4 linked regions of the Pelodiscus sinensis genome follow. The protein of the gene in region 3 interacts with the protein of the main gene of each other region in a pairwise test. Links are inferred from orthologs where the notes say so. Each region holds a gene or a part of one and is shown on either strand. Other genes may lie near its edges. The genes, in order: protein NKG7-like, TXN2, AGTRAP and ECPAS.

Evidence for each region.
Region 1: the proteins of AGTRAP (region 3) and protein NKG7-like interact in binary tests that used the Homo sapiens proteins (3 or more experiments, as listed by UniProt). The two-hybrid records come from large-scale screens. The link is inferred for Pelodiscus sinensis from reciprocal best matches to the Homo sapiens genes AGTRAP and NKG7.
Region 2: the proteins of AGTRAP (region 3) and TXN2 interact in binary tests that used the Homo sapiens proteins (3 or more experiments, as listed by UniProt). The two-hybrid records come from large-scale screens. The link is inferred for Pelodiscus sinensis from reciprocal best matches to the Homo sapiens genes AGTRAP and TXN2.
Region 4: the proteins of AGTRAP (region 3) and ECPAS interact in binary tests that used the Homo sapiens proteins (3 or more experiments, as listed by UniProt). The two-hybrid records come from large-scale screens. The link is inferred for Pelodiscus sinensis from reciprocal best matches to the Homo sapiens genes AGTRAP and ECPAS.

What each region holds. Positions count from the first base shown.
Region 1 is NC_134734.1:3,104,286-3,111,697, forward strand, and holds the start of protein NKG7-like, read right to left. Parts: upstream 3,016-7,412; 5' UTR 2,720-3,015; intron 1,796-2,719; 5' UTR 1,763-1,795; coding exon 1,585-1,762; intron 1,189-1,584; coding exon 1,042-1,188; intron 695-1,041; coding exon 560-694; intron 1-559. Other genes in the region: protein NKG7-like, read left to right, coding at 7,220-7,412.
Region 2 is NC_134711.1:93,362,838-93,370,309, forward strand, and holds the start of TXN2 (thioredoxin, mitochondrial), read left to right. Parts: upstream 1-4,470; 5' UTR 4,471-4,610; exon of another isoform or gene 4,611-4,660; intron 4,661-5,185; coding exon 5,186-5,454; exon of another isoform or gene 5,455-5,457; intron 5,458-7,472. Other genes in the region: FOXRED2 (FAD-dependent oxidoreductase domain-containing protein 2), read left to right, coding at 5,368-5,417.
Region 3 is NC_134733.1:8,001,658-8,008,694, reverse strand, and holds the start of AGTRAP (type-1 angiotensin II receptor-associated protein), read right to left. Parts: upstream 3,008-7,037; 5' UTR 2,913-3,007; coding exon 2,886-2,912; intron 1-2,885. UniProt on the Homo sapiens protein: Appears to be a negative regulator of type-1 angiotensin II receptor-mediated signaling by regulating receptor internalization as well as mechanism of receptor desensitization such as phosphorylation.
Region 4 is NC_134716.1:10,165,427-10,172,828, reverse strand, and holds the start of ECPAS (proteasome adapter and scaffold protein ECM29), read right to left. Parts: upstream 3,020-7,402; 5' UTR 2,808-3,019; coding exon 2,771-2,807; intron 1-2,770. UniProt on the Homo sapiens protein: Adapter/scaffolding protein that binds to the 26S proteasome, motor proteins and other compartment specific proteins. May couple the proteasome to different compartments including endosome, endoplasmic reticulum and centrosome.

The sequences.
Region 1 (7,412 bases), on a different chromosome or scaffold from region 3:
CATATCGCCTCCCAGATCTGGCACCCAACCCCTGCCTTAGCTCCTGCCTTAGCTCACAACCCAAATCCCTGCACCCCCTCCTGTACCCCAATTCCCTGCCCTGGGACACAATCCAACCCCCTGCACCCCAGTCCAGTGCCCCAGGTCACAACTGCCTCCTTCACCCAAACTCCCTCCCTTACCCCAAGCACCCTTCTGCTCCCAACCTCCATCCCAGACCCCGCACCTCCTCCTCCTCTTGGAAGAGTGCAGCCCTTGACCACTTTTCAAATTCTTGGAGAGCCCCCATCATAAATTCATGCCCATCCCTGTACTTGTCTAATACCCGGTGACAGAGACTCAGCCAGGGTGGAGAGCCACAACTTCAGTCCACCCGTGCTGTCCCATGGCACCCTCTCCCCAGCCCCCCACAATCCCACTCACCCTGTTCCCTCCACAATGCCTCTCGCCTGCCCCCACAGCACCCGGCCTCCAAATGGGCTCCCTCCCCCCAACCTGCCCCAGCAGCCTTCCCCTGTGGAGTCCCAGCCCGGCTCGCCATGGCGACCCCCCAGCTCACCGCTCAGGACCAGCAGCGGCAGGGCGGCCCAGCCCAGGTAGAAGGACCATTCGAAGGTCAGTTGGATCTGCCCGTCCTTGTTCTTGTCCCACGACTCGGCACTGAACACGGCCATGGAAACCAGGGTGCAGCCAGCTGGGGCAGGGAGGGGTAGACACTCTGAGCCAGTAGGTTCCAGGCTCCCTGTCCTAAAGGCTGGTGCCCCCATGAGGGGACAGGCTCTGAGCCCCATTGCATGTCCCTGGGCACCAGTCCCGCTCTGACACCCCCCAGAGGGCAGGACCTGTGCCCCATTCTCTGCCCCCCTGGGCCTCCCAGCTCCACTCCAGCACCCGCACCAGAGGGGCCAAGCCCCAAGCCCCATTCTCGGGCCCTGGGCCTGTCAGCCCTGCTCCAACAACCCCCAGAGGGGCCAGCCCCAGTCTTCAATCCCTGCCCCACTTCAGCACCCCCCAGAGGCCAGGCCCGGGGCTGGGCCCTACCGGCAGCGAAGGCTGAGAGGGAAGCGACGAGGCTGAGGCTCACGGGGCTCTGGAAGCAGGATATGATGGAGGACAGCAGGGACAGGATGCAGACGGCCGCGGCCAGAGCTGCCAGGATCAGGAAGGCCCGGGTGGCTTGTATATACCCTGTGGGGAGGGTATGGACAAGAAGGGTTAACGAGGAACCACCATCCCCAGCCAACCCTCAGTGGGTGTAGGGGGAGCCTGGAGCAGAGGGAGCGGGGACTCGGTAGGGCTCTCTGTGCATGTCCCAAGATTGGGCGATCGGGGCCTATCGGGATGGATGCCCACTGCTTCACCCCAGTGAGGGCCATGTCTCAGCGCCAGGTAAGGGGTCCCCACAAGAACACCTCCCACCCCCACCCCAGAGGTGGCTGCATCTCACGGCAGGGTGAGGGGTCCCCAAATGAACACCTTCCACCCCCACCCCAGATCCCAGGGCAGGGCGAGGAGTCCCCATGTAAACACCTCCCGTGCCCCACCCCAGAGGTGGCTGCATCCCAGCCCCGGCTGTTTCCTCACCATTGACCTGTGCAGGGGACACACACACCCCGCCCACTGTACACTGCTGCCAGAGCCCGCTGTGGAACGTGTCCTTGGCGCCATAGGCCACCAGCCAGTAGTCGGTGCTGAGAGCCATGCAGAGCAGCAGCAGGCTGAGCGCAGCCAGCAGGCAGCTCCCCACGCTACAGGCCTGCATCTCCCTCCGAGACGGGCTGGCTCAGCTACAGACCTGCAAGAGGAACCCCGAGCTGGGGACAGTCCCCGGGCACAACCTCTCCCCCACCCAGCCCCCCTGCCCGGCATCCCCCCCCCCCCCCCCCACTGCGGCTGGGCCTGCTGTGGTGCCAGGGCTGAGTCAAAGTGCTGCCATGACTCATGTTCTCCCCTGCCCTTCAGAAGGCCATGAGTTTAGTGGTTAGAGCTGGGGGGAGGGGGCCAGGACTCCGGGGTCTCTCGCTAGCTCCAGTGTGGGTGGGGAGGAGTGTTTGCTAATGGTTAGTGCTGCTACTGCTCTCCCCAGCAGCGTTTCACACCCCAACCACTTCCCGAGCTATTCTCATGTCTTCCCTGCAACCTGAGCTGCACGGCGGCTGCTCTGAGGAACTTGGGCCCCTGTCTGGGGGATCAGCCCCACAGACCCTTCTCGCTCAGCCCCATGGTCCCCCAGCCTGGTGTCCTGCTGCCACAGATCAGCTCCATGGGCCCATCTACCCTGGCATCTGGCCCCTTATCCATCTACCAGTTTCATTCTTTTCCACTGCCTCTGGACAGCTACCCTGGACCCTCTCCCAGCCCCCTCTGGGCTCCTGGGAACCTAAGGCACTCCCAGTGCTCAGGGCTCCCCAGCCCAGTGAGGGGGTCTAATGGTTAGAGCAGGGGGAGGAGCCTGGGGGACAGGACTCCTGGATTCTCTCCTTGGCTGTGGAGCAGGGAGAGGAATCTAATGGTTAGGGCAGGGCACAGTGGAAGTGGGGAGGCTGGGAGCCAGGACTGCTGGGTTTGCTCTCTGGCTTAGAGAAGGGAGTGGGATCTAGTGGTTAGATGGGAAGGGGTAGGGAGCCAGGACTGCTGGGTTCTCTCCCTGGCTCAGGGGAGTGGGGTCTAGTGGTTGGAGCAAAGGGGAGCTATATTGGCAAGGGGGGCGTCTCCTTACCTTGCTGCTGGGTGCCCCCTGCACACTCTGTCCGGCTGCACCCAGGCCCCCGGCTGTCTCTCCCAGCGGATGGGGTCACCGAGAAAGGAGGTGGGGCTGTTACTTGACAGGAAGGAGCAAGGGGGTGGGCTTTGTGGTAAGAGTGAGCATCAGAGGAAACTGTGTGTCTGTCCCTGCCCTGCATACCCCGATCTCTGTGTACCCCGATCCCTGCGTACCCCAGCCAGCCATACCCCGATCTCTGTGTACCCCGATCCCTGCATACCCCAGCCAGCCATACCCCATCCCTGTGTAGCCTGATCCCTGCGTACCCCAGCCAGCCATACCCCATCCCTGTGTACCCCGATCCCTGCATACCCCAGCCAGCCATACCCCATCCCTGTGTACCCCGATCCCTGCATACCCCAGCCAGCCATACCCCATCCCTGTGTAGCCTGATCCCTGCGTACCCCAGCCAGCTGTACCAGGATCCCAGCCGATCCCAGTGTCCCTGGCCCATCCATCCCCTACACGTTTTATATCCATCTAGCCCTGTTCACCCCGTGTCTCGCCTTCCCCAGACACCCCCTTTAGGTGCCTCTGGCCACCCCAACTCCTCAGTCCGTTCAACCCCCCCCCCCCCGTCACCTGCCCCCTTCCCGCCTCGCGCTCTCTCGCTGGCTCGCCGAGCTGTTTCTCTCTCTGCACCCCCCTCCCCCCGCTTCCTGTGCCTGTGGTTCGGGGGGGGGGGGGGCGGTCACCACCGGCACAGCTCGGCGAGTCACCGCTGAGGAGGGGACAAGCCCTCCCCTCCCCCGCTTTGACTGCAGGGGGCAATGGCTGCTCCACACCCCCTGGGTTCTCCCCCCGGCTCTGGGGGAGGAGGGAGAGAATGGATAAAGGGCGCGCAGACTCAAACACACACACGGCAAGGGGCGCAGACACACACACACACAGGACAGGGGGCACAGATACACACACACACACACACACGGCAAGGGGCGCAGACACACACACACACACAAGGCAGGGGGCTCAGATACACACACACACAGGGCAGGGCGCGCACACACACACACAAGGCAGGGGGCTCAGATACACACGCACACAGGGCAGGGCGCGCAGACACACACACACAAGGCAGGGGGCGCACACACACACACACACACGGCAAGGGGCGCACACACACACACACACACACACAGGGCAGGGCGCGCAGACACACACACAAGGCAAGGGGCTCAGATACACACACACAGGGCAGGGCGCGCAGACACACACACACACAAGGCAGGGGGCGCGCGCACACACACACACACACACACACCCACACACACACCGGCTTTCCTGCATACACCGGTCACTCCCCAGCCAGCTGCTCCTGCTCCCCCGGGCTCAGGCGACTGTTGCGGCCGGGGCAGTCGCGGGTCTCGGGGCGTCAGGAGGCTCAAAACAGCGGAGCAGAGACCAGCACCGCGCGCCCCGCCCCAGAGGTGGCTGCATCCCAGCGCCGGGCGAGGGGTCCCCGTGTAACCAGCCCCAGAGGGGGTGGCCCGCCGGCCCGGCTGGGGAACAGGCGCTGCCTGCAGCGGAGCGGGCCGCGGACGAGCCGGGAGGGAGCAGCGGCTCAGGGCTGATGCAGCCGCCACGAAGCCAGCGAGAGCCGCGCAGTCAGGGCGATGCGAGCTGCCCGCAGGAGCCCACGTAGGTGGAAGATCCACCGGCCCTGCAGGGGAGAGAGCAGCGCTGGCAGGGCGGGTGGGGACGCTGGGGCACTGGCAGGGCGGGGGGTTTGCTCTCTGGCTTAGAGAAGGGACCCCGGACCCCAGCTGGGCCCACGGGACTCAAGAGTGAGCCAGACAGGTCACGCCCCCTGGTGACCGGGTTGGGGCTCTGCAGGCCATTGTGCCCGGCCACGCCCCCTGGTGGCAGGGTGGGGGGTTCTGCAGGCCACGGTGCCCGGCCTCGCCCCCTGGTGGCCAGATCGGAGCTCTGCTGGTCACTGTGCCCGGCTACGCCCCCTGGTGGCCTTGTGGGAGCCCCAGCTCTGGGCGGGATTCAGGGGAGCAAAGGAGTTTGGGGAGCAGCACCTGCGAAGCAAGCGGGGTTGGCGTGCACAGGGATTTGGGTACGGCTGTCTGGGGGGTGCGCAGGGATAGGGATATACAGGGATCGATCAGGGTATGGCTCTATGGGGTATGCAGGGACTGATCAGGGTACAGCTGGGTGGGGTATGCAGGGATGGGTAGGGCTGTGTGCCTCGATCCCACAGGGTACGCAGGGACAGACGCACATTTTCCTCTGATACTCTCTCTGCCCACAAAGCACCCCCCCAGCTCCTTCCTGCTAAGTAACAGCCCCACTCCCTTTCTTGTTGACCCCATCTGCTGGGAGGGACAGCTGGGGGCCTGGGTGCAGCTGGAGAGAGTGTGCAGGGGGCACCCAGCAGCAAGGTACGAAGATATCCCACTCTGCTCCCCAAAACTGGCCATCGCCCCCCTCACCACTACAGCTCCTTCTGCTCTAACCACTAAACCCTACTTCCTTCCCCAAGCCAGTGAGAGAACCCAGGAGTCCTGACCTCTGCCCCCTCCCCCACTCTAGCCATTAGACTCCACACATTAGATGGGATTGGTCCTACCTAGGGCAGGGGGCTGGACTTGATGACCTTCTGAGGTCTCCTCCAGCTCTATGGTTCTATGATTCTCCCTCCTCCCCAGCCAGGGAGAGAACCTCTCAGTCCTGGCTCCCAGCGCCCCCTCAGATCTACCCACTGGGCCCTCTCCCCTTATAGAATCATAGACCCTGTCATGGTCTTTGTTTAGACCAAGGTGAAAAGTGTCGAATTTAAGTATGAATGACAGTTCAAAGGATTCTCTTTCAAGTCTGGTGTTAAAAGGTCTTTGAAGCAGGATGCAGGTAATCAAGTCGTTGAGACAATGCCCTTTCTGGTTGAAATGGCAAGAAACTATTTTTTCTTTGTGATCCTAATATCTGTTTTGTGGGCATTGATCCTTTGGCGAAGTGTCTGAGACGTCTGTCCAATGTACATAGCAGACGGACACTTTCGGCACATGATAGCATAAATTATATTTCTGGATGAGCAGGAATATTTGTTCTTAATCTTATAACTCAACTGGTTAGGTCCAATAATGGTATCGGCAGAGTGAATATGTGGACAAAGCTGGCAACGAATCACAGATAGTACATTAATTTAAATGAAAAATTAATTATAAAAATAAATAGAAATAAAATCTTTGTTTAGCCCCCAAAGGAAGTATTCCTCTGTCTGTGGTTTCAAATCCTTTAAAGAACCAAACACCAGTTACCGAAACCTAGTTTCCATTTACCAGAAGCTGGAAATGGGCACCAGGGATGGATCGTGCTGATTGCCTCTTCTGTTTAATCCTTCTGTTGGCAGACAGGCCTCTGGGCTGGAAGGACCATTCTGATGTTCTTATCTAGAGCTGAAATGTATCTGCCCCCTGCTATAACCCACGAGACCCGACTCCCCTCCCAGAGCTGAGAGAGCGCCCAGGAGTCCTGACAGGGTCTAGGATTTTGCACAAAAGGTTTTTTTTTGCGCAAAATGGAAGCGTCTGTGCTGCTTCTTTTTGTGCAAAAACCATTGGCAAAACATATGCTAATGACATCAGACTCATGCTAATGAGTCCGTCATTAGCATACTCTCTGCCATAAAAACCTTGGGGTATGTCTACACTACAAAGTTAATTCGAAATAACAGCCATTATTTCAAATTAATTTTAATAGCGTCTACACATACAAACTGCTATTTTGAAATAAATTGGAAATAGTGGAGCTCATATTTCGAATTTGCTAAACTTCATCCTGCAAGGAATAACACCAAATTCGAAATAGCTAATTCGAAAGAAGTGCTGTGTAGACACTTACTTCGAATTGGGGGCCTCCAGCCCTTCCCAGTTTCCCCTGGTGGCCACTCTGGGCACAACCAGGAAAACTCTCCTCTCCCCCAGCCCGGGGCCCTTAAAGGGGTAGAGTCTGGCCACTGAGCACATGCAAGACCCAGGCCTGCCAGCAGCCACAGACCCTCAGCCAGTGGCAGCCAGTGGCAGCCAGCGGTACCCTGCCCAGTCCCCAGGGGACAGCCGGGGCGCCCAAGGCAACAGGCAGGGCAGCGGAGCCGAGGCCTGCAGGGGGAGCGCAGGGGGAGCGCGGCTCTTGCTGCCCCATGCGGCCTGGGAAGAAGTGTCAGCGCCCCAGTGCGGGGCCTCTAGTTCCCCCTCCCGCTGCAGAAGCAGCCCCGCCCCCCCACTCCACGCTCGCGCTCTCCCCCCTCAAACGCAGCGCCCCGCCGGCTCCCCACCCCCCCGCAACCCACCCGGCCCGCAGCCCGCTCGCCCCCTCTCCTGCCTCGCCCCGCCGCGCTGCGCACACGCGGCCGCTGAGACGCCAAGCCCCAGGGCAGCGGCGCTTTGGGCATCAGCGAGTGACCCCCCCCCCCCCCCCCCGCAGAGAGCCCGAGGTTAGCAGGCCCGGACTATGGCTGGGGGGGGGGGGAGGCTCCCGAAAAGCGCCCGCGCAGCGTTGCCGCTCTGTGGACACGGGGCGCGCGGGGCTTTCCGCTGGGGCCAGCCAGGGCGCACGGCGGGACGCGCTCCCACTGCCCCGGAGAGGCGCGGGGGCGGGACAGCGTGTCCAGGGGCGCACGCAAAGCCTGTGGCCACTGGGAACC
Region 2 (7,472 bases), on a different chromosome or scaffold from region 3:
CAAGACTATAAAAGGGTTAAAAAAAAAAACCTGCTAGATAAGCTCACAGAGGATGGATCCAACAACAGCTATTAGCGAGAATGGGTTGGAATTGTGTCCCCAGCCTCTGTTTGCCAGAAGCTGGAAATGAATGACAGGGAATGGCTCACTTGATGATGACATGTTCTGTTCATTCTCTGTGGAGCACCTGGCACTGGCCACTATCAGGAGACGTGATACTGAGCTAGATGGACCTTTAGTCTGAGTGTGGCCAGGTCCCTTGAGCAGCAGGGTGGCTTAGTGGTTAGGTCCCAGAATTAGCTGACTGGGTACAACCCCCTACCGCTGGTGACCCAGGCATAGGAACTCCGGCCTATTACCTGAGTATAGTTCTTAAGTTCGAGGCATGGTCCAAAGGCTACATCTAGACTGACAAGATTTAGCGCAAATACTCTAAACGCAAGAGTTTTTGCGTTTAGAGTATTTGAGTAAGGGAGCGTCTATACTGGCATGTGCCTTTGCGCAAAAGATTTGCTTTTGCGCAAAAGCATCCGTGCCAGTAGCCGCTCTCTTGCGCAAGAAAGCTCCGATGGCCATTTTAACCATAGGGCTTTCTTGCGCAAGAAATTGGTGTTGCCTGTCTACACTGGCCTCTTGCGCAAGAACACTTACCCCTGAGCAGAAGCATCAGAATATTTGTGCAAGAAGCACTGATTTCATACAGTAGAATGTCAGTGTTGCACAAATACTCACGGCCAGTGTAGACAGGCAGCAAGATTTTGTGCAAAAGCAGCCGCTTTTACGCTAAATTTAGCCAATGTAGACACAGCCTAAGAGTCCAAATTTTTTCCTCCTCTGTGGGGGTTCCTCATAGGTTCTCCCCCTTTCCTTTGAGGGGTGAGATTGGAGGCTTACATGCCCTGAGGGCTGGCCAAGTAGACAGGCTCCACCTGGGGGGTCCTGCACACAGCAGAACCAGCTCCTGTATCCTCACTGGTCAGCCCCTAACTGAGCCATGGTCTTTCCTTTTATACTCCCTCCAGGCCTGGCATTGGCTACAGGTGAAGCGGGGCAGAGCTAGCTGGGCCAAAAGGCTTTGTTTAACTCCTGTACTGACAAGCTCTCCTCTCTTCACTTCCTCACACTGACCCAGTGTGGCTGTTCTTATGGGACCATTGTGCTCTAGAGGATAAATGAGAAGCTGGGATTCATTGAGGCTTCTCCTTTTAGCTGAACACTTCACAATGCCTGAAGATAGTGTTGCGTTTATCTTATGAACCAATGTCTGGGGAAGCAACTGGGAATCACAGGTGTATGAAGAGAAAGAGAGAAGAGATGCACAGATGCTTTTGATGTGACAGTCACATTTTGAGGACCAGTTGGAACCTCTTCATTCGATGCTGGGTCCAGCACATTCTTGTGTATACTTGAAGATTTGTATGTTCAATGAATACAGAAGCGGTACCTTCAGAAGCAACATTTTTCCTGCACTTTGGTGGAGACAGCTAGGTGCATGCCAATATATTTAGTTTTAGTGTAGGGCAATATGATGTCACTGCCTGACAGAGGTCCCAAAAGCCACCCCACTCTCTCTAATGATGAGCAGCTAACCTGGGAAGCTTAGGCCCAATGTGAGCTGTCACTAGATTGGCCCTGCTATCCTTTCTGTTACTTTAATTGGTGGAGTTGGTATTCCATGCCTGCTGCTCCTATTTAGAATAGATAGTCCTTGTATTTTTTTTAGTGCAAATAGGAGAGATATTTTGCTATGTCCTTCCAAAAATCTTCTAGGCTGTGTCTACATTGGCATGATTTTACGCAAAAGCATTTGCTTTTGTGCAAAAACTTGCTGCCTGTCTACACTGGCAGGGAGTTCTTGCGCAAGAACACTCTGTGTGAAATCAGTGCTTCTTGCACAAGACCGATGATGCTCCCGCTCAGGAATAAGCTTTCTTGTGCAACTGTTCTTGCGCAAGAGGCCAGTGTAGACAGGCAACATGAATTTCTTGCGCAAGAAAGCCCAATGGTTAAAATGGCCATCAGAGCTTTCTTGCGCAAGAGAGCGTCTACACTGGCACGGATGCTCTTGTGCAAAAGCACATCTCTTGCGCAAAGGCACATGCCAGTGTAGATGCTCTCTTGTGCAAATACTCTAACACAAAAACTCCTGTGTTAAAGAGTATTTGTGCAAAATCTTGCCAATGTAGATGTAGCCCTAGTATTTTTCGCTCTAGTTAAAATGTGTATTCTAGTTTTCTTCCCAGATGTTCCTATTTATAGCTTTCAAATGTTGCATGGTAAATTGTGCATATCAATCAAATGGAGACAGACCTCTGTCACTTCCTGGAAACCACTAAGCAGGGCAAAATGGTAGGAGTTTGAGCTGATTCTGCCTGCATCCCCATGATTTCTGTGAAGTAGAGGAGGGGCAGACTGGAATCAGCTTCCCACTCTCCCTATATCCATAAGAACATCTTGCATTTGTGCTTCCTGCTAAGATGAATGGAGGAAAAAAGGTGGACCTTATTAATTCCTTCCCATCAGCTGTTTCCTAAGTATTTCCCAGGGACCTCTTAAACTTTCTTGGTCTTTCTATAAAGACCCAGTTCCCATAGCTTTTTGCTGCTGGAGTTTGGGGAGCAGTTGAGATAAGCGAGGGACTGAAAGGTATCACTTTTAACTGGAAGCACTGGAGCCACGTCTACACTTCAGGCTTCTTGCGCAAGAACTGTTTTGCGGAAGAGTACTTGTGCAAAAGTTCTTGCGAAAGAGCGCATCCACACTGCCATGTGCTTTTGTGCAAGAGATGTGCTTTTGAGCAAGAGCGTCCATGGCAGTGTGGATGCTCTCTTGCGCAAGAAAGCTCTGATGGCCATTTTAGCCATAGGGCTTTCTTGCACAAAAACTCTTGGCTTCCTGTCTACACTGGCCTCTTCCTGATAGGGAGCATCAGAGATCTCATGCAAGAAGCCCTGTTTCCTGATGCTATACTGTAGATTCACTTGTGCAAGAACGCACATGCAGTGTAGACAGCTGGCAAATTTTTGCACAAGAACAGCTATTCTTGCGCAAAAAGCCTGCAGTGTAGACATAGACTGGATGAAAATGTTGCTGCTATCAAAAGATCCACTTAGTAGCTACTATCAAGTTGATTGGGAGAAATAGGGTTGGCCTTTCACCTGTTGTAAATTGGTATTGCTCCACTCTCTTTAATGCAGTTACATCCATTTACACCAGCTGTGAATCTGGCCCAGAAAGAGGCCATTGAAAAGTCTATATTCACCAAGCAGCCCCCACAACTCACCATGGGATTCTTACATGTGGTCTGTCCAAAGAGAATGGAATTAGGAAGTCCACTGAACACTGACAGACCTGTCTGACCTAAAGGTTCAGTTTTGTTGTCGGGGAGACACTAAAACCAAGAGCAGATCCACTCGACATGTGTACACACGCATCTATCTGTGCACACACGGTCAGAGCATCCTCTTCTCTTTCACTGTAGTGTCCCACACAAAATCCTAAGGCTGTCAATTCCTAATATGTGAGTTGCCTAAGAATGCAGTTCTGTTCTGAAAAGAGACTAAGAATGGCACTTTCTTTACTAGTTTGGTCCCTGTTATGTGTCAGAATCAGAAACACCTGCATCTGAAAGTGTTACTGTTTATTTCTGCATGTAGAGCCAGCAGCTGAGACAATGAGCAAGATTAGATATGAGCCAGAATCAATAAACAACACAAATTCCAACTTAATTTCTCCCATTGTCCCTCTGGGATCCCAAGCAGGGATGGTAGTTAGGAAAATCGCTCTGTTCATAAAGTAGAGAGGTTGCATCTGGATGTCACACAGGAGCAATATTTGCAAACTACCATGGTGCCATTTTTGTAATGACTTTTCAGAGCATAATTTCATTTTAATACTGATGCCATTTCTCTGATGTGAATTACTGCCTGTTGTAATTGGTTGTACGTATTTTATATGGCTATTCTTCCAGTCCAGTTACAAAAATGTTTGCACTGCTTCCACGCTTGGTTTTTTAACCCTTTGGTCGGGGGACACCAGCTGTACTGATTGTATAGGGAATCACGGTGCTGTTATGTGGGGTTTTGCTTTACGTAGCAGGTATTTGTGTTACTTCCTGTCCCATCCTTATTTTTGACACTTGCTATCTGGTGTCCCAAGCAAGGTGTCACGTGGACAAGCCCTCACCAGGCCCGGGATGCGCTTTGTGAGCAGGGCAGGGGCACAAGCAGCTGGCTCTGGCCCAGTCCCGACCCTGCAGCGGGTGAGCACAGCGGAGCCAATCCGCAGCCCCGGCTCACGTGGGGGGAGGGTGCTCTGCTGCTGGTGGATGACGACAGCCGGGCTATTGAACAGCCCTTCTCCGCAGCCAATCAGCACCCAGGAGCCCTCCCCTGTTTGCAACCAACCAAGAGCTAGTTACCCGCGGATAGTGTCGCCAGCCAATGAGCTCCTAGGATTAGACAACAGCGAGCCGGAAGTCGCTGTTCAGGGGCCGATGAGCGCGCGGCGCCCCTCGGCCAACCCGGGGCGCAGGACTCCTGGCGCGCCTCCTCCCTCGCCACAGCCAATCCGCTTCCGGCAGCCTTTGCGTCACTTCCGCCGCCGGGAAGGTGAGTCGTGGGGCATCTGAGGAGTGCGCCGCCGGGACCCAGCGTGCGGGGTGCGCGTGCGGGCCAGGGCCCGGGAAGTGGGCGGGGCGCTGCAGTGGCGCGGGGCGCTCAGGGCACAAGGGACCACAGCGCAGCCGGGCCAGGCAGCAGTGCGAGAGGGCGCAGGGAGAGGGGCAGGGTTAGCATTGTGCAAGGGAGCAGCGCAGCCCGGGGCACCGGTGAGGCCTTGGAGTACTGTGGGTTAGGCTGGCCTAGCAAGGGGCATAACGTCACTGGGAATGGGGCTGGCATGGAATGGGGGGCACAGTGGGCTGAGAGGGAGGGGCACTGAGGGGCTAGCATGGCAGAGATGCGGTGGCAGGGTACGGGGAAGGAGCATGGGCAGGGCTGGCATGGCAGAAAGAGGGGCATTGGCTTCACTGTAGGAAGCAGGAGGAAAGTAGCAGCAGCAGCAGCAGCGTTCCTGGGGCTGGAGAGTTGTTGAGAAGCATAATGTCCGGAAATGCTCCTTCTCTGCTCTCCTTTTCTCCATGGCATGGTTGATCCAAAATGCCTTTTTTCCTTTCATTATACAGATGGCTCAGAGGCTCATGCTGAGGAAAGTTCTATCCGTCACCCTCCAAAAGCTCTCTGTGCCGCCTGTGTTGATCCTTTCCAGGGTGTCAGGAGCACCATGCTACCCTAGATCACTTGTCCCTCTTACCCAGGTCACTATGCCTGCTTCCCTTAGAACGTTTTCTACTACACCTGTCTGCAGGGTCACATTTAACATCCAGGATGGGGCTGACTTCCAGGACAGAGTTATGAACAGCCAGAAGCCGGTGGTGGTAGACTTTCATGCTCAGTGAGTATTAGGTGTGGAGTCTTGGGTCCCTCCTTCTTTTCTCTTTATATCCTGGAAGTAACATGCTGTCACTATGGCTTTGGGCAAGTTGGTTACTTTCCTTTTGCCTAAGTTTCTACCTCAGTAAGGAAGGATAAAAATGTCTTTCTATCTTTCTAAAGTGTTTTTTGATCTATGTGGGGAAAAAATCTGACCTCATATAGCACTATGCTTTAGGCAAGTTTGCTGGTATACCTACACTGGCAAACCTTCCTAGTGGAGACACAACTGCTACAACACACACAAGCACTTTTGCTTGTGTTTATACAGGTTCCCAGAACAGAATAAGCTATACTGGCAAAAGGTTTCTGTGTGCTCCTCATTCCTCCCTCTCTCACCCTCCTCCCCATACCTGTGCACCTTTGTTTCCATTTCCTTCCATGGCACTGTGTGGCCCCATTTTCTCCATATCCCTCATTATCTCCTCCACCCATTCTGAAGCATTTCCTGACCTCCCCTTCATCAGGATTTCTGTATGCCCCCCATTACTTTCACCCCTCCTGCATATCCCATTTCCCCCCTCCGCCGTATGGCGGGAATTTTAAGTGCACTCTTATTATCCTTTTTCTCCTATTCTAGAAGCTCTGTATAGCTCCATTTTCCCTCCTTACATAACCAGGATTCCTCAGTCTCTGTTCCCAAACACCCAGGGTTCTGTTTCTCTCATTCTCTCACAAACACTAGGGATGTTGAAATGCATTTAATTAAGTTCCCGTGTAACTGCTGAAAAAATCAGCAGTTACACAGTTACAGGCAGAGGCAGGCAGCTTCCCAGGAGCCAGTGCATGCAAGAAGCCAGCTTTTAATCTGGCTCCATGAGTACTAGTTCCCATCTGCCCTCTCCTCTCCTCTCCCCTCTTCTCTCTATTGCTGCCTCTGATACAGCCTCTTTTAAATCAGTTACATGGCTACCGGGAGCATATATGTAACTACACTTTCACATTCCTCATGCACACACACTATTTGTGCACATTGTTATTTTCTCTGCTGTTTCACTTTCTGGGAAAGAAGTCAATCAGGATGTCAACATGTTAAACGCTTGGGAGAATGAGCAGAGATGAGATGTGGCATGTTATTCTGGAAGGCCTTAATGCCTGCCATCAGCCAGGTTTTTTGAGCTGTAGCACTTTCAGAAATGCTGGTTACTGTGTTAAAGAGCTGGCAGGGTGTCATGTATTCCCCATTTTGTTCCTTCCGATTTTCCAGATTTGTTCCTTCCCTCAAATCTGTGGGGTTCTGGCCATTGATTCCTAGAAGGTTTGCTGGAATTGATCGGGTGCAGCTCTCAGAAATTTGCTTCACACCTCAGTGTTGTAGCAGCATAGCTACATTGCTCAAGGGAGTAGAAAAACCACATTCCTAACTAGCATAGCTAAGCTGACAAATCTTCCCTTTCCCCCCCCACCAGTACAGCTATATTGAGAGAAGAGTTGATATAACTGCTGTTGATATAGCTATTGTCATTCAGGGAGGAGGTGTTCCTGTACCAACAGAAAATCTGTCATTATAGGCTGCCTCTGCACTAGAGGACAATGCTGGCCAAAGCGTCATAGTGCGGATGTAGCCACAAACACAGAGAAAAACTTTTGAGTTTAGCATGAGGTTATAGCAAATTTGGCAGTAAGTATGCTACCAATATCTGTATACAAAACATAATGCTTGTGTATGTCACCAAGATGTTAACATAGATCGTGTAACTCATACCGATTCATAGGCTCTGTGCTATGCCCAGGTTTTAAATGATCCCTTGCAGGCAGAGATGACCTGTACTTGCTGATTGTGGAAGACGGGGCACACTAGAGGTTTGGGCAACCCCACCAGACAAGACCCCACTTATCCTCAGCCTCCCTTCCTGGAAAGTAATGCCCCTTCCTGCAGCTCCTAGCTGTTGCTCCTTCCTCTCCCCACAGGGCTACGTCAATTGGCTCTTCAAGCAGCTGCCAGGCAGGGAGGGGGCCCAGCCACCCCCTGTGACTAAG
Region 3 (7,037 bases):
ACAAAGCCTCTGTCGAAAAAGGCGTGCAGTCTAGACATAGCCCTAATGACAACCAATAACGCCAGATAAAGAAACAGATCTCAAGATGGGTAAAGAAAACTTAGTTTGATAGCATCTCATGTATCAAGAAACTCTTTAGGTGGGATTATGGAATCCTCATTGTATGATTATGATCCTCACTTTTCTATTGTTTGTTTGTATGATCTCTGTCTCTGGTTTTATACATATATATATTATCATGAGCTTTCATGGGCAAACACACTTCTTCAGATGAGATCTCATCTGAAGAAGTAGACTTTGCCCATGAAAGCTCATGGTACTATATATCATTTTTTAGTCTCTAAGGTGCTACAGGACTATTCATTGTTTTTAAAGTTACAGACCAACACAGCTAACTCTCTGTGGTTTTTAATTGTTTCAGTCTGCTGTGTAATTAATTTTGCTAGGTATATATCAATTGAAGTGGTGGGGTATGGTTAGTTAGGTAATTCTGTTACAGTATGTTAGGACTGATTAGTAACATTTTAGTAAAATAATTGATGACAGTCTAGCTAAGCAGGACTCAAGTTTCACTATATAAACTGGGGCCCAAAAGAGAATTTTTTGGAAGCCAAATCCAGGACACAGCTCCAAAATCAGAGCTGCCAGACCCTGTGCCAATAACACTGTGCAGAAATTGGAGTCCCCGAGCTGGACCTGAACCTGACTGGCTATCAAGACAAGTTCATCTGACTTACTGGGAGCGGTGAGCACTGTATGCTAGCATGTGCATGCTGGCTTTGATAGTGATTAATACAGAGAGATTAAGTAGGATATTACCGTGTAAAGCTCATTCCCTGATAAAAGACCCCACAAACCCACAGAGTGTAAGGTTACACCTGAGCCCACAGAAGGAAGAGGGTGGGTGCCTATTGAAAAGGTTATACCTGAGCCCTATAAATGGGTGAGGGTGGGTGCTCCTAGAGCAGGGGAGGGGAAACTTTTTGGGGTGGGTGCCACTGACCCACAGAAAAATCAGTCGGGAGCCACACACAAAATACCCTCATTGATGTGGCACCCAACTGAGAGAAAGATATTCTCCCACATGCCCCTTGCATACCACAGCCTCTGGGGGTCCAGCCTAGTAGATTTTGGATGCTCCATCCCCATGGGGGGTAGCAGGGGGCTGGAGTGCCAGCACAGGCTCCCTGCAGGAGGGCACCCTAAGCCTCAGGGGCCAGATTCAAGCAAGCTGGGGGCCACATCCGGCCCCCAGGCCTAAGATTACCCATCCCTGTCCTAGAATGTGTGAACAACAGAGAATTTTGTATGGGTAACATCCTGAGATGAGAATAAGTCACTATATTTGATAAAACCAACAGCCAATAAACATCTTGTACCTCCAGCGCATCAGGGAGAGCTGTATCAGTCACACTGCACCATGTGAATACAGCTCTCTGGAGTGCACAGTGAGGATCATGCACAGCCTGTAGCAGAGGGGGAATTTTGACCCCTGGGCAAAGGCCTGACCAACAGCAAGAGTCATGGAACCTTTACCGAGCCATTGTCAAAATAAAAACCACCCTCCAATCTGATGTGTTTTCATCTGTTGGGGTTATCCTGACAGTAAGTCTATTGTAAACTGCACTGTAAACCCCAGCTGTGTGGACTTGGTATTTCCAAGCTAGGGCTTGAGTATCCACACTACACTGGGCCCATGGGCTTACAGCTGGGGGTCTCAGCCATGCTAGCTGAGGATACAACCCTACTGGAAGACAAAGACCTTCAGGTTTGAGTCTGCAGCTCCAGCTGCCTCTTATGTTAAAAAAATACAGAGTTTGGATCCCAGTTAAAGGGCGACCCGGGCTCACCCACTGCCCTAGAACAGAACAGGCAGGGCCATCCTTAGGGTTTATGGGCCCTCTACCCCAGGGCAGGAGGGGTGAGCGATTGTTTACAGCACCCCCACTGTACAAATACTTCTCACCTCCAGCGACACACCAATGAAATATTCTTAAAGCGCCTTTTCAACGACGGTTCTGTCGACTAAGAGAAAAGTCCATTCCGAGGGGGACAGTGTGGACCTCGGTTTGGAGAATGCCTGTTCCCCGGCTTCACTCCCACGTGCCGCTCACGGCTCCGGCAGGCTCTCCCGCTTTGAAGCGCCGCAGGACCCCTCCCGAGGAAGCAGAGCCCGGCCAGGGGGCGGCGGCTGGGTGGACGTGAAAGACCCAGCGCTGCCCCAAAGGGCCCGGGGGCGTGTTCTGCGCCCCGGTGTGCGGGCGCGGGGGGCTGCGGGGAGGCGCGGGGGAGACCGGGTGCCGCGAGTCCGGGGTGGCCAAACTGCAGCTGGTCAGCCACATGCGGCTCTTGAACAATTAAGGGCGGTTCTGTGCCCCCCCATTCTTCTCCCACCAGCCGGGGGGCGGCTCTAGGGCCCCCCCATTCTTCTCCCACCAGCCGGGGGGCGGCTCTAGGGCCCCCCCATTCTTCTCCCACCAGCCGGGGGGCGGTTCTGCCCCCCCCATTCTTCTCCCACCAGCCGGGGGGCGGTTCTGCCCCCCCATTCTTCTCCCACCAGCCGGGGGGGCGGCTCTAGGGCCCCCCCATTCTTCTCCCACCAGCCGGGGGGCGGTTCTGGGCCCCCCCCATTCTTCTCCCACCAGCCGGGGGGGCGGTTCTGCCCCCCCCCCCATTCTTCTCCCACCAGCCGGGGGTTCGAGACCTCTGCCTTGCAGCGGGCCGGTGCCCGAGGGGCTGCCCAGCGGGCAGGGCGGTCTTGAAGCTGCAGCCCCGCGGGACCCACCTGCCAGGGCTCGGCCCCCCCCCCATTAGCCCTGCGCCCCTCCGCCCGCTGCCTGGCCGCCCTCTGCGGGTCGCTCAGCCCCGGCCCGCCGCCCCGGTACCTTGAGGTTCACAGCGGGCACCTCCATGCTCGCGGGGCGCCCCCGCCTGTCCCGGCCGCTTCCCAACTTTCCACCGCCCCGCCCTGCCCCCGTGACTGTGCGGGAAGCGCCTCACGTGGGGCCGGGCGGGGGCGGGACGCGGCCGCCGGCGCCGGGCTGGCTCTGCCCCCCGCGTCCCTCCTCGGGGGCTCCCCCAAGCCAGGGCTGCACAGAGACGCCCACCCAGCCCGAGAGCGGCCAGCCCAGCGCTGAAGAGGGAGAAAGACACAGACACCCCCAGAGAGGGGAGCGGGGAATTGACCCAAGAAGCTGGATAGCCCCCCCCCCGAAGCGGCATTGAGGGGGGGCGGCAGCAGGGCGCTGGAGATGGGGTGCTACTGCCCCCCTTCAAGTAGTTCCCAGGATAGTCCCCATTGTAGGGTGTACAGTTTGATTCCATGACTCTCAGCACTGCCCCTGTACAAATTGTTCCCACTCCCCTGTGAACTCAGTAAGAGGGTGTGTAGCCCCTGGTGAGGGAGCAGGCCATCATGCCCTAGCTGGCGACCTGCCACACCACCTCAGATGCTGGTCAGTATTCCACAGGGGCGGTTGGTATCCAGGCAGGTAGGGTGTGCAACCCGACTGCGTTTTCTGCACTGCCCCTTCTTCCTCTGGCTGCTAGTGCTCCCAGTTCTCACCCCCTTGGCTGCAAATCAGCCGTGACCGTGAAAGATTTTTGCAGGTGCAAATGTTATTGTTTAAAAGCAAGCATGCAAAAATGTCTTCCCTGAGGCCAGGCCTCTTTGGAAGCTGCTAAAGGGTCAGGGTGTTTTTAATGTCACTGCACATCCCTCCATTGCTGCCTCAGTTCTTACAGCCCCACAGGAAAGGGTGATAAATCCTTTTGACCTCCAGAAATACCACTTCTCATCAGTGACTAGCCTGCCCTGGGAGTTGAGGACATTGATTCTTGCACTGTCACTGCTTTAAAAAGTCCCAAAGTGTTCCAGCCACGCCCCAAATTAGTTTCAGCAGTGTGCTATGGGGCTGTGGCCAAGTACTGTGGGGTAGCATCACTCCTCCCAGGGAACTGTGGAAGTCTGGGAAGAAATTTCCAGAAATCTCTCCCATTTCATAATCTGCTCCTTCACACTGTTTTCCCTTCTCGCTACCAGAAACCTGAATCCTGCGCTGATCAATGCAGCTGTTTTGTCCATTTCAAGGTCTACCATAGCAGCCGGACATTCAGCAGGGAGACAGAGGATGAAGCTGAGCACCTGTTGCAGGCTTTCACTGAGTGATGGCACCTAGAGAGATGGTTTGGGTCCAAACAGTGATGAGGCTGGAGTGTGATACAAATCTGAGAGCACCAAAAGTGGCTGTGGGACATTCAGCTGCAGAAGGCCACATGCCTGGAACTGTGTGCGGAGCTCACCCCAACCCTACAGAGACTAAGAACCGCATGGACAGTAGAGAAACAGGTGCCGCCAATCACTATCTGCAGGTTGCAATGCTGGATTGCTCTCAGTTGGTGAACAGCCAGTTTGGTGCTGGAAAATCTGTGGTGGAGGCAGTGGCCACCCAGGTGTTCAAAGCCATTAAGAGTGTCCTGCTGTGGGGGCTTGTCAGGCCAGGCAGCCTCCAAGAAATACTAGATGGATTTGATTTGATGGACTTCCCAAGGCTGCACGTGGCATTTCAAAGCAGCAATGCCGTGTGGAGCCCGGGGTCAGCTGCTTGAGTCCCCTGCTGGCCCCTAGGGCTGTTGCTACACTTCAAAGGTGGAGACACCCTTATCGACTAAACAAATAGTCGATGCAACTTGCATCAACAATTCGATTAGCCAGTTAATCTAAATTTAACATCCCTACCCCTTGTTTTGCTGCTGAGTGCATAAACAGAAAGGGGTACTTCATCATGCAAGCATCACGGTAGGTGATTTACTGACATTTAATGTTGGCTGGTCAGGGAACGTCCTGGATGCTCCCATCTTTAGGAATTCAAGACTTTTTGAAAACCTGAAAGCAGGGACTCTTTTCCCCGACTGTCCTGTTGACATTAATGACATTGCAATGCCAGCTGTGATTCTTGGCGACACAACCTATTCTTTGCTTCCCTGACACTTTACTCCAATCATTGGCAACCTGGAGAAAAGCAAGGAAAGATTTAACCATCCCCTGAGCCAGTGCAGGATGGCTGTGGAGTGTCCTTTGAAGGGCAGATGTCTCATGTCAAGGCTAAATCACCATGAGGGAAATATTCCTGCTCCAAAGCGCCCTTTGACAGTGTGCATTTCCCAGGCAGTGTGTTACTTTGTGTTAGTGTACATAGTGTAAAGGCAAAGAGGAGTCTTGTGGCACCTGAGGCCACATCTCCACTTGCCACGCTGGAAATGGATCTTCTGGCATTTGATTTAGCAGGTCTAGTAAGGACCCACCAAATCGAACATTGAGGGCACCCCCGGATTGGTGCTGGTACTCCTTGATTTGTGAGGAATAAGGGATGCTGATGGGAGCATTTGTTCCTGTCAGCCTCCCACTGTGGAGACACAGTGCCAAATTTGGATTGAGGTGTCAGCTCCAGCTACATTATTTACATACCTGGAGTTATGTACCTTAAGTTGACCTTCTAGGTCTAGTATAGAACTAGCCTTTGAGACTAAGAGATGTATTAGGGTATAAGCTTTCGTGGGTAAAACCCACTTCATCAGATGAATTGGAGTGGAGTTTACAGAGGCATGTATATATATATAAGGACAATCAATTGTTTTTAGGGAGAGGGGTGTTTTTCCCTTCTGTCTCATAAGACAGGGAAAATACAGCTGGCTTTTCACAAACTAGAACTTTTCTTAAACTTCATGGCTACGTCTACACTGGCACCCTTTTCCGGAAATGCTTAAAACAGAACAGTTTTCCGTTATAAGTATTTCCGGAAAAAGAGCATCTACATTGGCAGGATGCTTTTCCGGAAAAGCCCTTTTTCCGGAAAAGCGTCCGTGGCCAATGTAGATGCGCTTTTCCGGAAAAAAGCCCCGACCGTCATTTTCGCGATCGGGGCTTTTTTGCGGAAAAGACTACTGGGCTGTCTACACTGGCCCTTTTCTGGAACAGTTTTCCGGAAAAAGGACTTTTGCCCGAGCGGGAGCAGCATAGTTTTTCCAGAAAAGCAGCTGATTTCTTACAGTAGATCGTCAGTGCTTTTCCGGAAATTCAGGGGGCCAGTGTAGACAGCTTGCAGCTTATTCCGGAAAAGCGGCTGCTTTTCCGGAATAAGTGGCCCAGTGTAGACACAGCCCATTTGTAAAGAACTAGTGTACGAGCTGGCTGCACACAGCTGCATCAGAGCAGGCAGGAGGTGCATTCAGAGCAGTTGTTATTATTGTCCTATCACATGGAAGGCCAGGGACACTGCTGCTGGGCGGTTGGGAGCCTCAAGGATGAAGCCTACGGCCCTAGCCAGAAGGAGTCATTCTCCATGTTGCCAAATGGCTGCTGAAGTGCCAGGCTTTAGCGTTTGCTCTTTAATGTGCTCTAGCAACTGGCTTTGTGGTTTAAGTCCTTCTGAATGAGGTCGTACCGCTCTTGATCCTGTTGGTCTTTTTGCCTCTCTCTCTGCTTACATTCCCCCCAGGACTGAGTCTCTCTGTCTTCAGTCTGGACTAGTTCAGAGAACGTATCTTCTCTTGTCCTTTTCCTTTGTTTCCTTATCATGCTGAGTCACTCAGCAGGAACCCCGCAAGGTCAGAGACAAGCACGCAGACAGAGAGTCACTGTTAGGGGGAAAAAGGGAATCCCAGACAGCAGAAGATAGATGGGAAAACCAAGGGAGCTGCAGCTGTTAAAGGTGTATAAAGATATGCAATGAGTAGTCCTTTAGCATCTTAGAGACTAGCAAATATATAGACATGGTAACACGAGCTTTTGTGAGCAAAACCCACTTCTTCAGATGAGCAGAGCTCATATCTTTTTGTTAGCCTCTAAGGTGCTACAGGATGACTCGTTTTTTAAAGTTACAAACTAACACGGCCACCTCTCTGAGACTTTTAAAGATACGCAGTCGCACAATCACCTTTGCTTCACACATACACAGGGAAAGAGATGGAGAGCTTGTATTCTCCCTTTAACGGTACCTTCATTATTCTTTCTTGTCTCTCTCACAGTTGAGAGAAGG
Region 4 (7,402 bases), on a different chromosome or scaffold from region 3:
ATTAGGATTCAAGCAATCACTGTTTAAGTTGTTCATCTACCAAATCATGAATATCCTCATGGAAAAAGTTTAAGCAAGCACTTTTTTCCACCCCCTCAACAAAAAAGGTAGTAACAGCTCATCTATTTGATTGCTTCTACAGACCAAAGTTTATTACAGCTAAATATCTACAAAACAGGGATAAATTGGATTTCTGGTCTAAAACAAAGTCATGGTTACTCTTACAGGAGGCTCATTATCCTACCAATCAGATCCCTAACAAAATACAATGTGATGTCTAATTTTAGTCTCTCACATCCTTCTTCCTGAGAAGTCTGCCCAGTTTTCCCCTCTCCCGGTACTACTTATGTTTCTTGTTAAAGTTCATCTTTGACTGCACAACTTTTCCATTTATTCATAAGAGGTAGCATTAGAAAAACCACCAGCATCCCTTTTCAAAAAAAAAAAAATACCCACTACCCTCAGGTCAGAAGGCCTGAGTAATTTCACAAAGTGTGAGAGCAAAGGAAACAACAGTGATGTATCATTGACTGTTGAGGAAGAATTTCATGGCTGATGGGGGACCATAGAGTTGGAATAATTTTTCTAGACTACAGAAAATGGTCATGACAATGATTCATCCCAACTCTCATTTGAGTAAGCATGTTAACATTTGTGTCAGACTTGAAAACAAAAAAACAGAATTATTGACAGTAGGGACTCCACTAGTATTTTAGTGTTCCATTGTCTATACCCCTCACCCAACAGTTTATAGAAACTAGAGTTCTCTCCAAAGAGAGGACACAGAAAAGTTACACAGCAAACACCAACGTGTGGTTTAAATATGACAGCTTGCAGCTTGAAAATCCTTAATAGCTTTCTTTCTTCTGCTGAGTTTCTGGTGGTAATTCAATTCCACAACCAAGTCAAGTCCAAAACACCATTTTCCCCAGCCCACACATCAGGCTCATAGTTCCCCCAGCTGGGTTATACATCATCTGAAAACTAGTTATACCTCAGGAGATGCAGCAACAAGAAAACATTCCCTTAACATTTTATACTTCTTCAGAGACAGGTTTATACTTACTGCACCAGAGTCACCAGTAGATGTGAAGGTTAAAAAACCACCCAAAACTGGGTGTCGATTTCTGACCAGCAAATGAGTATTTTTAAACTTACACAACTACATTACTCAAATTCTGACTTCTATCCTCATCAGCACTGAGAACTGCATGGGCCCACAGTGTGCCATGCAATTCTTAATGCGGGATTAGGAACATCATTTGCACAAAAGAAGACTGAAATGGATAAATGTGTTTTCCAATATATTTTATTCTTACATTACGTTTCTACTTTAAATCCAAACAAAACATATCAAGCTCTGGAAGGGGAGAGTTTTCATATTTTTTCCTTATAATGAAAAAATATACAGTGACTGAAGGCTTATCTGTATCTACAGTGTGCTTTCAGCAGAAAATCTGAAGAAGAATATAAGTGACCAGAACTTTATAATACTTTACACATCTGTAGCACTTCTGATCCATGCATCTCTAAGGACTCTACAAACATTAAGCTTCACAATACTCTAGTCCAGCAGTTTTCAAACTTTTGTACTCCTGACCACTTTCACACAACAAACCTCTGAATGTGACTTCCCAGGTCCTATAACTGACAGGTTCTACCTCTCCCCTCCCCTTTTTCTTCTGTTATAAATTCTGGGTTTATGTTATCCCTCTCGAGCTCATCTGATGAAGCGGGGGGTTTTTCCCCCACAAATACTCCTGATATATTTGTTAGTCTCTAAAGCTGCTACAGAACTACTTGCCGTTTTTAAAGTGATTAACATGGCTACCCCCTGAGACCTTACAAACTAAAAAACACTTTTTAAAAAAATGTTTAGCCCTATCATAAATGCTGGTGGCAAAGCAGAGTTCGGGGTGATGCCTGACAGCTCACAATCCCCCAGGTAATACCCCCATGGCTCCTGAGCGCGCCCCCCACACACACACACACACACTTTGAGAACCACTGCTATTGCCTGATAAGGGAGAATAACTAATGACAGATCAGAGATGGAGAACGGAGTCCAGGTGGCCAGGACGGGGCTTGCCCAAGGTCACCCAGCGAGGAGCTGGCGCCCCCCTGCAATCACTGAGCAGGGCAGGCAGAGCTGATCTGCTCTAACCACTGGGCCAGGCTCAGCTGACAGCCTGGGACCGAGGACTACATTTCCCAGCCGGCCTCAGTAGCAGTTCCTGCGGCGGGCCCCACGCCCAGAAACTCTCAGCTCCCCAAGCTGGGCCCAGGCCCCTGGCAGGGACGGGGACACCGGGCGGAGGGGCACTCCAGAGCCGGGGCGCGCAGCCTCAGGCCGGCGCCACCCTCCCCTCGCCCTGCCCCGCGGCTGGGCCGCTCCCCGGCCCCAGCGGGCAGGAAAGCAGAGTCACTGCGGCGCTGCCCGGCCTGTGCCGGGGCTGTTCAGCCCCCGGAGCCGCAGGCTGGGGCTCGTGCCCCCCCCCCCCACACACACAGCGGGGCGGGCGCTCGCCCCCTCAGAGCGCGCTTTCCCTTTCGCACCATGACTGCGCACCGCCGCGGCCTAACGCGGCTCCCCCCGCCGGGGCCCCGGGGCGCAGCGCCCGGACACTGGGGCGAGGAAACCCGCATCCCCCCCTCACAGCCCTTCCCCGCTCCCGCCGCAGCGCCGGCCCGGCCCCAGCGCGGACACGCGGCGGGAGGGGAAGGGGGGGTCCTGTCGGCCAAGAGCCCCCCCGCGCGCAGCCCCACTTACTCAGCTCGTCCTGGGCGGCGGAGGCGGCCGCAGCCATGTTGCCAGCCGCCGAGGGGCGGGGGCGCGCGGCTCCGGAGGCTCCCTTCGCTCAGGGTGGCTCCCAGCCCCGGTCCCTCCCCTCCTCGCCCGGCTCTCTCCCTCCGCCGCCGCCTGGCCCGGGGCGCCCGCCCGCCTGCTCGCCGCGCCCGCCGGCAGCTCCCGCGGAGGGGGAGGGTGCGCGGCTCTCACGCCCTCCCCCAGGCCAACCTCCCTCGCTTCGCTTTAGTTTTATATTTAGAAAGAGCTGAGCCATCGTCCCAGCCCCCCCGCCCGGGCCGCTTTCCCCTCCCCTCCGCCACGCCACCGCCTGAGACACCGGCCGCCCCGAGAGCTCCGCTCGCCGACGGGCGCCAGGCACTAGCCCCGCGGCCGCTCCATGTGCGCAGCGGCCCTGGGCGCCTTCCCTCGCCCTGCCCCCGCACGCGGCCTGCCCCCAGGCCGGGCCACTGACCTGAGTCCAGGCTGACCTCCATGGCTCCCGAGGCACTTCTCTCCACTTGCAAGGGGGTCGGGGTGGTGGAGAGGCTCGGGTCAGCAGCACAGCGACGCCGCTGCCTTTCTCCCCCTATCTGTGGTAGCTGCTTGTAGCAGTCTGGAGGATTTTCTAGCTGGGAAAGGTGTTGCCCGGGACTTGTAGCCAATGCCGACCAGGCACAGATTTAGAGGAAGTGTGAAACACCCTCAGAGGGGTGCTACTTCCTCCCATCTGTCCTCCCAACAGCCACTAGGGTCCTGGCCATACCCTCAAGCTGCTCCAGGAGGGACTTTGTTCCCTTACCTTAGTTTTTCTTTGCAAGCTACTTTAGACTTTTACATGGGAAGTTATGCCCTAATAGCTAATCCTGATTAACTATCCAATCTTTAGGTGCTCATAGATTACCAGTTCTACCTATTTGGTTTTCCCTTTTATATTTTTATACCCTCTGCTCCTTGTTTCCCACACCCTTCCATTTTTTTCCTTCTCCCCTATTTCGTTTGGATCTGCACATCCTAAGCTCACAACTCCAGTCATCTGAAGAAGTGGGCTGTGCCCACAAAACCTCATGATACCATCTCTTGTTAATCTATAAAGTGCTACCAGACCATTTGCTGTTTTTTAAATGTATCTATGTATGAATATTCCTATTCCAGAATAAGAGTGGTTTATTCTGAATTAGCAGCACTTTTATGCTGGAATTAGTGTGTCCACACATGGACTTAATGGGGAATAGTTAAGCAGCTTTAAATTCACATCCTGCCATATTCGATTACTTTTCATGTGTGGACACTCATACTCCAGAATAGGTGTGCCTTATTCTAAATTAGAGCTCAAACGAGTGGATTAAACTATATGGATTTAAAGCATTTCCATTAGACTCCTCCACTCTCTGGATATGTCTACACTGGCATGATTTTCCGGAAATGCTTTTAATGGAAAAGTTTTCCATTAAAAGCATTTTTGGAAAAGTGCGTCGAGATTGGCAGGATGCTTTTCCGGAAAAGCACTTTTTCCAGAAAAGCGTCCGTGGCCAATCTAGACGCGCTTTTCCGCAACAAAGCCCCGATCGTCATTTTCGCAATCGGGGCTTTTTTGCGGAAAACACCACTGTGCTGTCTACGCTGGCCCTTTTCCGGAACAGTTTTCCGGAAAAAGACTTTTGCCCAAAGGGGAGCAGCATAGTTTTTCCGGAAAAGCACTGATGATTTTACATTAGATTATCGGTGCTTTTCCGGAAATTCAAGCAGCCAGTGTAGACAGCTGGCAAGTTTTTCTGGAAAAGCGGCTGATTTTCTGGAATAACTTGCCGGTGTAGAGACAGCCTCAGTGTTTCTAATTTACAAATACTCTTTTAAAGACATTAACAATCCTCATCTAGTGCTTCAACTCTCAATGGGTACCAACATCAAGGTATAATACAAAAATCCACCAAGGAACAACTCTGTCTCCTATCCTCCTGGTACCTATATTTAAAAAAAAAAAAACACCTCTGCATTTGGGAAAGAATAGAAGTTTCATATTTAAAGCCTTTATTTTAGCCATGAGGTTATTCTCACTGAGATATTATCGAACCCTGTTAATAGAAAAGACAAATGTTAATTCTAAGCAACTTTAAACATAAGGTTGAATTGTATAACGGAAAACCCAAAACCTAACAAATATATTAGCACTTCCTTATATACAGGGCTTGACAAACAGCGGCAAAAGTCGCTCGCCAGCCCTGCACTGCGCATGTGCAAGAGCCGCGTTGTGGATGTGCGCACCGCTGGTAAACGGGGCACACAGCTGAAATCTATTCGCCACAGGCGAATAGATTCTATAGTTTGTTGAGCCCTGCTTATATAGAATGTACACACATTCCCTTCCTCCATATCTTTCCATAGTATAATTTACAGAAGACCCTACAGTGCCCAGCTTTTTTATAATAGCTGTAGCTTGTCTGATCCTTGAAAGTTGAGCCGTTTTCCTTAGAGACTGAAGAACAAATGGACTGGAAATATTCTGGCATTGATCCATTACCTATTTGTTCTTTTTTTTAAAATCAGGGTTTCCAGTGTTAGAAGTTGCAGTTTGCTCTATATGGGTATGTCTACACTGCAAAGCTATTTCAGGATACTAGAGGTATCCCAAAATAGCTATCCCATGTCTTCTGAATATGTCCGCTATTTTGAAAAATAGCAGACAAGCTATTTCGCCATCCCTATAAACCTCATTCTACCAGGAGTAAGGAATGGCTCAAATAGCGCTTTATTTCAAAATAGACTCAAAATAAGCTATGAAATTTGCATAGTGCAAATTGCATATCTTATTTCGAGTTTAGGGTACTATGTATATGCACCCTATGAATCCAGATGGAAGGGGAGAGTGATCTCATACCAGGAAGCGTTGCGTGTGTTAGTGATGGTGCATGCACAGTTAGCCTGCTGTCACCAGAAGATGACAAAGACACAGGACACCAAACTGCTTCAAGCCCTAGTCAGAATGGCTACAGCACAGGAGTTCAAACTGAGGGGACTGTGAATTTCACCTAACAACAGTGTTTCCTCCTGCACAAACTGACTAAAGCTGATAAAGAATTGAAGAAGCTAGTTCTGGAAAAATTGGATAATAAGACTGTCAGTGAACTATTTTATTTTTGTAGCAAAAGGTGCAACAAACTGCTTAAGTGAAATGTTATCATCCTGTGGTGAGAGTTGGGTCTATCAAAAATGGGCTGGCAAGAGCTAGTTGTGTTCATGTCAAGAAAAGGATTTAAGAAAATGGGAACAAACAAGCAAGAGAAGGAAAAGTTAATATACAGGCAGTCCCCGAGTTACGCGGATCCGACTTACGTCGGATCCGCAGTTACAAACGGGGCCGTTCCTCTCCCTGGTCTCCAGCAGACCAGGGAGAGGAAGCAAAGCGGCGGAACACGTGGGCAGCGGACAGGGCTGTCCGCTGCCCACGCGCTCCGAGGCTTGGCTCTGCTTTGCCCCCCCCCCCCCGGTCTGCAGACCAGGGGGACGGGGGGTGGGGTGGGGCAAAGCAGAGCCAAGCCGCGGAGCGCGCAGTCAGCTGACAGCTGTCAGCTGGCCGCGTCCTCCGCGGCTTGGCTCTGCTTTGCCCCTCCCCATCCCCCTGGTCTGCAGACCAGGGGGACGGGGGGGCAAAGCAGAGCCAAGCCGCGGAGCACGCGGGCAGCGGACAGCCCAGACGCGTCTGGGCTGTCCGCTGCCCGCGTGTTCCGCCGCTTTGCTCCCCGTCCCCCTGGTCTGCAGACCAGGGGGACGGGGAACAAAGCAGAGCAAAGCCACGGAGCCCGAGGGCAGCAGGACAGCCACGGCGCGTCTGGGCTGTCCCGCTGCCCCTGTGCTCCATGGCTTTGCTCCGGACACCTGTGGTACAGCAGCTGGGGCGCTGCCAGTTGGTCCCATAGCGCCGCTCTGGGCGCTACTGGACCAACCGGGCAGCACCCCAGCTGATCTGCCCCAGGCGTCCTGATTCAGCCACTGCTGGTCAGATTCAGCAGCGGCTGAATCAGGACACCTGGGGCAGAGCAGTTTGGGTGCTGCTGGGTTGATCCAGTAGCGCTGAGGAGCGGCGGTGCTACTGGACCAACCCAGCAGCACCCCAGCTGCTCTGTCCCAGGCGTCCCCAAGTCAGCCGCTGCTGAAACTGACCAGTGGCTGACTACAGGAAGCCCCTGCCCTGGGCTTCCTGGAATCAGCCGCTGATCAGTTTCAGCAGCAGCTGACTTGGGGATGCCTGGGGTTCTTAAGTTGAATCTGTATGTAAGTCAGAACTGGCGTCCAGATTCAGCCGCTGTTGAAACTGATCAGTTTCAGCAGCGGCTGAATCTGGACGCCAGTTCCGACTTACATACAGATTCAACTTAAGAACAAACCTACAGTCCCTATCTTGTACGTAACCCGGGGACTGCCTGTAGAGAGAAATAAATGTAAATGAAAAAAAAAAAAAAAAAAAAAACATGGCAAGACTGCCATTTCAGTAGCATCACAGTTCAAATTAACAAAGAGGCTATTTTTATGATAACTGTGTGACTAGTTCCCAGTTTACTGGAAATGGTCTGATTTTGAGAAAATGCCTCAGCCTATTGTATCAAAACCAAGGGTTAG